Drosophila melanogaster: one gene and its partner. The gene in region 2 interacts genetically with the main gene of each other region. Each region holds a gene or a part of one and is shown on either strand. Other genes may lie near its edges.

The links. Genes that interact genetically often act in the same process or in processes that back each other up.
Region 1: of frtz (region 2) and Rab23, changing one enhances a phenotype caused by changing the other (phenotypic enhancement), as found in Drosophila melanogaster (one study listed by BioGRID).

Annotation. Positions count from the first base shown.
Region 1 is NT_033777.3:5,683,835-5,687,434, forward strand, and holds the start of Rab23 (Rab23), read right to left. Parts: upstream 1,601-3,600; 5' UTR 1,564-1,600; intron 1-1,563. Other genes in the region: plx (pollux), read left to right, coding at 3,416-3,535.
Region 2 is NT_033779.5:1,714,017-1,717,973, forward strand, and holds the start of frtz (fritz), read right to left. Parts: upstream 1,836-3,957; 5' UTR 1,541-1,835; coding exon 1,123-1,540; intron 458-1,122; coding exon 157-457; intron 102-156; coding exon 1-101. Other genes in the region: Rim2 (replication in mitochondria 2), read right to left, coding at 3,087-3,213, 3,582-3,799, 3,862-3,957. UniProt on the Drosophila melanogaster protein: Probable effector of the planar cell polarity signaling pathway which regulates the septin cytoskeleton in both ciliogenesis and collective cell movements. Functions cell autonomously to regulate wing cell hair polarity and number.

The DNA.
Region 1 (3,600 bases), on a different chromosome or scaffold from region 2:
TCGTTTCGTAAGCAAATTAGCTTGGTTTCAAGGTTCTCAAAATAGATCGGAAGCTTGGTGCTCGAAAAAACAATAACAAACCAATCATCAATTCGGGTTGGATTCATCTAAGCTTCGAAAGAAGCATTAGATATATGTATAGCCTACAGCGTTTCCCAATTTTCTCTCAGTTTTTCAATAATAAACGAACCTTTTTTGTGTAAAATGTGGCTGATATGAATGAATTTGCGTGAAATTCTCAAGATTTTATTGGCCTAAATATAGTGATCTGCCTTCGAAGGTTACAAATACAACAATTAATTAATTCCCAGCAGTCTTTTCTGAGCTCTTTCCACACAGTCGGCATTCCGCACTAGACGGACAGGTAACACAGGATTTGTGTTTTCCATTTTCTCCACCGATTCTTTCTTAACCCAAACCACCACCTTTAACCCACTGTGCAACCTTTCGCTCGTTCTAATTATGCCGCGACTTTTTTCCTACAGCTTCTTCTAAAAGGTTCATGCTATTTTCGTTGACTTTTTTGTAGTTCATTGTCATGATAATTAAGGCCACCGGTTATAGATTTAGTTCAATAGCCATGTGTACACTTAAAGATTTGTTCCACAAAAGAGAGCACCGATCCTCAGATTGTTCTAATCTTGAGCCTGTGAGCAACCATTTGTTTTCTGCACAGGCTGTGGAGTAAATTGCGAATGGAGCGCCGCGCTGCAATTATCTTTGGATTTGCCCAAGGAACTGATAGATCGGCGGCCGTTTTCTTGGCCATTGTTGTGGAATGTGGATTCTAACTTGTCCATTTAGGTTCACAACAGCACCAATACACCTGCACTCGGCCACATGCATGCATGCCGTGCACGGCTGCACACCCCTACACATGTGCACTTGTTGTGCTGCCGCTGCTGCTGCAGAGGAAAAACGGATTTTCCAGGCTTGCAAGTGTGTGTGTTCGTATGGGGAAAATTATGCAAATGCCGAGCGCTACTTAAATCAATTACGAGCGCGAATTCCTCATTATTTAAATCATGATTAAATAGTTACTCGCGCATTAACGGTACTCCGCACAGTGTCGCCCTCTGCTTCTTCTGTTTTTGTCTGTTTTTTTATCTCTTGCCATATTTTTCATGGCTCTTTTACTGCCTCTTCTCACTAAAATCAACTCAAAAGTCTACTGCGATTGTGTTTTCTGGGTGAGAAATAGACGAAAAGAAGTTTCGAGTGCGAAAACGCGAAGCTCGCATTCGAATCGCAGCTTGGGATCGCACAGAAAATCGTAAACACGTTCGCAGCGGAGCCCCTCTTCTACTTGGCCAAAACTACCAAGCAGATAAAACGGCTAAAGCAGCTAAATTGGAGCTAAAACAACGACGACAACGCGTGCGAAGCGCCTTAATTAAAGACGAACGTCGCCTGGGATCCCGATCTCTGAATTGACCCGCAGTGAAAGTCAACTTGCACACACGATATACACCATGGTTTATGGTTTTTGCCCCCGGCCGATTTTTTAGGGCGCCAAGTGGGAGAAATGCGCTGCACTGCGAACCGGAATGCCAAAAATCGCACCTGTTGCTCGTCGCGATCGAAATTTGAATGCCAAGCCTGGCTTGCTGCGAGCAGTGCGACCATGGCGTGCGCAAAGTAGTTTGACCAGCGTGGATGGTCACACCAGGCGAGCTTCGATGTGAACGGGTTTGCTTTTATTTTATCTGCACGTCTCCAATAATAATTTACGAGCGGAGAATGAAACATATATATACATCCTCCCATTTGACTTAAAGATTGGTTACAAAATAAATAAATAAGTAATAATTCATTGTCCAATGTGCATATAATATTTAGTTATTAAAGTAAGTACATACTATTATTGAGTGCTTTGAATAAACATGTACGTGAGAACACTTTGCATTTAAATTTTAAATTTGTAGCGCCTGTTATTTACCTCTACCGTCCCTTTGCAACACTGCTTCCCAGTGGCTGGCACTCGCAGAAGAAGAAGCACCTGGCAATCAGCTGTTCCAAACGACAAGACGCGCATTTGTTTGACTTTCAACGGCGGACTCGAAAAAGCGCAAATTGAAATGTGTTGCCGCAAGATTTGCGCACCAGTCTTGTAAGGGCCAATTGCGGCTATAATTTCATCGCCTTTGCTGACAACCCACTTGGCTGGCAGCACGCGCATGCTCGGCAATCGCGATTTATCGGCCGACAGGACGAAGGACGAGACGTAGAGAAATGCTAGGCATCGCGAATTGGAGAAGCGGCAGGAACTCGACTTTCAGTGCTCAGTGCTCAGCGGAATTTGGTGGCATTTCAACGTGTTTTCGGGCGCACCAATCGCCAAAATCAGTATTTATTGTTGCACGCCACCATCCGTGTGTGTGTGTGTGTCGCGTAACGGCGGGTGTGTGAGTGTGTGTGGCGAGGGGCGGCGAAAAGGTATTGGAAACCTTAGAAAGTAGAAAGTTAAAAGTGCCAAGTTAGTGCAAAAGTAAATTCCGACATTGGGGTGACTGCCGTCTCTTTTTTCGCAGTCTGTCTGCTGGTGGTGGCTCGTCCTCTTTCTCCGCCTCCTGCTCCTCCTCCTGCCTCTCAAGCCCATCCTCCGTGCCCCCATCTTCCCATTCTTTCTAAGGCAAAGAAAAATCACAGTGCACGCTCGATAAAGGGAACATGCCAACAGGAAAGTACGTGTTTTGAGAATCCTTACATTGCTGCCTTAATGGTACTGTGAATTTAAAGTTCTTACTAATATTACTACAGTATTGAAACTATCTTTCCTTTGAGAATCTAAATAACTACTTTTGCTTGCCAGTTAACTGTAGCGAGCGCGCACTGTGCATTTTTGTGAATGTGTGAGCCATGAATATGTGAAAAACAAAGACGGCACTGGCTGCGAATAAAAATCAATATTGATAGTAATTTCTCGGATGCTCTCTGCTCCTCCGCTCCTCGAGACCTTCCCACAGGAAGCGCAGTCAGGTGGTCATTGTCCGCTCCAGCGCCCCGGCTGCCCATGCTCCCATTTCCCATCTTTCCCATGTTCCCACTTGCCCATTTTCCGCACTATCCGGCTGCTTTGCCGCCCCCCTTTTTGGGGGTGATTCATTGGGCGCACGAAGTCAGAATTCCATCAGCGACGACTCCCTTCCGCCTGGGAATGTGGAAACGCGGTCGCCATTAAATATTGATTCGATCCTGGACTGCAGCACGCTACGTCAGGAAAACATATACAAAAACGATTAAAGAGCAATTTGCAAAGCGGCCAATAAAATGCAAAGTAAATAAATGGGCCGCAACTCAATTTGACCAGCAATTTTAACAGTTTATCGTTCGGCGAAAGTACACACGCATAAGCCACACTCGAAATTAAATCAAAGTCAATATTGCAACTGAAACAGAAACTGGAACAGTGAAGATGAAAACGCGCCTCGTCTCGCTGACTTTCCGCGGCAGTGCATCCGTGGATCCGCGCTATTCCGCCTCCATGCTGCCGTGGACCATTAACGATATCAGGTCCACGGAGAGCTACACGAAGGTAAATATTACATATATTATTATGAAACAAATAACTCTACATTGGCTTAGAAACTAATTGGGCTA
Region 2 (3,957 bases):
TCTGCTCCAGGGTGATGATCTGGCTCTCGCTGCTTCGCAGGAAGTCCACGCACAGCGGATCGTTCTCCGACCAGCAATAGGCAATCGATTCCAGCTGCAAGCTGAGCAAAGCGATTAGACTGGGCCATGGAGTGGGAGTTGTACTGTGCAACTTACCCCTTGATCTTGAACACATGTATGTTGGCACGATCTTGGTCCCTTATCGTTGGCCTCCAGGGATACACCTCGTTCTGCGAGGACTGCGTCCAAACCACGAACAGATCGAAGCTGGCGTTAACTGTGAGGTGGCGGGATAGTTTGCGCTCTGTGGCGCCCGGTATGATCACGTGGAAGATGCGCGGATCCATATTGGCGATCTTCTCCGGTCCCTGGGAGCGAGCATTAGGCCTCTGCAGATGCACCACCGTCAGCTGGTTGGTATTGTAGGCCAAGACGATGTGGGAACGGGTGAAAAAAGCTGGCGAGACAACGGATGCGGGCGCACGACGAGAAAAGAGACACAAGCGACAAAGCTGAATGAGTGGCTCGAACAAAACATGGAAAGCCGGAGGATGGTGGATGGGGGAAAGGGGTTGGGGGTTCGCATATTTACAGGCAACAAAACAAGCCAGCAGATTAATTAAAAATTACAATAATTGCATGCCCTGCATGTGTGCGTGCGGCTGTGTTGGTGTGGGAAAGTGCAAATCAAGTCGCACTTGTTGCCAATGCAAATTTCTCCATAACTGCACAAGCAGCACTCCGCGGAGCAAGGCCAAATGCGGACTGCACTCTATCGAATGACTGATACCCTGGATGACAAGCGGCAAACAGCACAAAGAACTAAATGCAGGACAGCTTTTATAGCTGAGAGCTTAGTGAATAATTAAATGGCATGCATGTGTTTCTAGCAAGCTGTCTTGGTAATTCGTTCTAATGATGAGGAACCTTTAATTACGCCTGAAATAGCCATTATGTATTGCGTGATGTTAACGCATATTAACTGATTTTCGAACGCTGCAAGTTGAGATGTCTGCCAGTCGAGCTGCACATGCAGAAATGCAATGCCCAAGCTGATTGATGGATGGCTCTAATGCGATGGAGGGCGGGCTGGAGCGGGTGAAAGGAGAGAATCGCACATACCATCCGTAATGACCTCGGAGGCGAGCTTGCCCACCAGGTACTTCTCGAAGACCATGCGCAGAATGTCGCCCGTGTAGATGTCCACGCAGATGTGGGCGATCAGGCCGTGTGAGAAGAGGAGCAGCACCTGCGCCGCGTCCTGCCACTCGGAGTGGATGATCCTGTGCTGGCGCAGCAGGTCCTCCAGCTTCTTGAGGTTGTCCTTCAAGCGGCCGGTGGACTTGCGACCAGAGTTCTTCAGCACGGCCAGTCCATTGCGACGCTCCGTATAGTCTCGCTTGGCCAGGCAGGCGAGGTCCTGCTGCTCCTGCTCCTTGTCGCGCTGCCTGAGGTAGCGAAAGGCGCCCAGGTCCTGGCTCTTGATCCGCACCACATCCTCGCGCAACGTGGTCCAGAAATGGGTCTCGCTGAGCAGCATATTCAGGCCTCCAGTGCATCGATTTGCATGGCGGAATGATGGGTGTCAACGCGACTCGATCAGCTCGATCTCGATTTGTTGGCGTGTGCCTTTCAAGCTGCTCCAATTGCACTGATTGCTTTGTATCGGGGTTAATTGCGCTGCTCTATGACTGCTCTGCGACTCGTTATCAAGGTTGCTCGCGGAATAGCCAACGAATTAGCACTTTGGCCAGGATTTTTCGCTTTAAACAAACTTTGTTTATGAAAATAAAATAAACTTGTTGCTCGAAACACTGCTTACGTTACTAGAGACGGCACTTTGTTACGTCGCTGAGCGTGGTGGTGGCGTGATATAGATGGACTACAACTGCGATCGCTCACGTGGTGGAGATCTTCGATGGAGCACATAGGTTGTGAACCAGGCTATGCTATGTTTTTAGCACGTACCCGAACCAGGATCTAAATTTTTGAAATTCAGAAAAATAAAATATTTACAATAAGCTACCACTACTTTCGCAGTGTAGTAGCTAGCCAATAAATCACTTTAATTTAGTTGTGCGAAATCGTATTATCTTGGCCAAATCGGCTTATCTCATCTCACTTTTATGGGCGGCAGTCTGGTTAGCCAAGATGAACTATGTTCGACTGCAGACGATTGTTAAGATAAGATAATGTACATATATATTAAATGGGAAACGAGTGGGTTATTTTTAAACAAAATTGTTGTATTTATTGATTTCACCATCAAATCGGATTGCAATCAATTATTCACAGTGGTTTCCTTAGTTCTTTGCTCATTATCAGTGAAATACGTTTTGCGTGGAGGGGGGGGGGATAACTAACTAACTAGCTAACTAATGGACTAAATAAACAGCAAAAATTGTATCAATATAGTTAAAGTAATATAGTAGAGTAATGATAACTAAATCGTATATCGCATTTGAGGAAACTTAACGGAAACTTTTACAGTTTACGAATCGGATCGGTCGGCTTTATATCTATATATATATATATTTAGCGGCATCTACTGGCAACTGCGGCCGATTCAACATTTTGTGCTTACAACTAAGAAAACTACGCCAGCGAACTCACTCTTTAACTATTTACAATGCACTCTGAGCGAATCGAGTCCTATGTACACTATATTATCCAAGTATCAACCACATTTATACACTCAATATATATTGTAACTTTAACTAAATAGCAGCCTTTTCAAATTTTGATAACGTTTCGCCCTGCGGTGGCATACCACATCCTTCTGTGGCATGCAGCAAGTGGGTTTAGGGTGTGGATGGTGCACTTCGATCCTGGTGCGTGTTTCCCATTATTGGTTTTTTCTTTGTTTGCTTCTTTTTTTTTTTCGATTGGTTGGCCAACGTTCAACGTCTAACGTCTTAAGTCTATCGAGTTCGTTTCATATCTGACTTAGAAGCTAGTTAACTAAGAATTTGCGCTCGTTGGTTTGGATCGTTTAAAAACGAGGGATAAAATTACATAAAGTTGCAGCAGTCGCGTCTACATATGCACAGATTGGGTTACTCCTTCTCCAGTCCTTTGAAAGGCATCTAAAAGTCGTAGAACTCGTTCGATTTGTTGTTGAAGCGCCGCGTGAGCACATAGACGACCGCCTCATAGGTGGCCATCATGATCGCCGTGTTGGGAATCTGTCGCACCAGCTGCGTGGCCAAGCCTCTGTGGAAATAGTTGGTAAAGTTTACAATTAGTAGGAGAATTTGCTAAGGTAGAGCTCTCATATATAAAACACCTCGAGTGAGCACGCTCGAGAGTGATAATCAAATTAAGGTAAACAAACAAAAAATATGCGACGCAAAAGAATTTAAATAGATTTCACGAATTCGTGGGTGGCACATTATGATAATTCATTAGCTTATATGTATATGTTTCTTATATACATGTCGGAGTGCAAGTGGGATTCCCTTCGATTCTATTTCAAGACGGATTCAAGGGAACTACACGAACAAGGGAATCCCTAAGTACAAGTTGATTGCCTTAATGTCGTATCAAATTGAAAATTCACTCTGCTCATCTATTTTACCCACCTGTAGAGTCCTGCTCTGCCCTCCTCCTTCCAAACAGTGTGCAGGGTCTGCCAGAAGGAGTTGTATTTGTTGCCCTCCTCCCGCAGACGAGTGCGTGCCACTTCGTGGGGATAGGCGATGCAGGAGGCGATGGTTTTGGAAACAGCGCCAGCCATCATGAACTCCAGAAAGTCGCGGGATCCCTTGGTGTCCGTATGCCGCTGATTTCGCTGCTCTAGCTGTTTGTGAAAGCGATTTTAAGTCGGAGGGAAACTAGTGCGCATTAAATTCAACTACTTACCAACTTGGACTTGATAAACTCGTAGATGACAAAGTGCACCATCGTCTCGCAGATTCCAAAGTAGCTGGCCGTGATGCCCTTGTAGAAGGCCGCCAC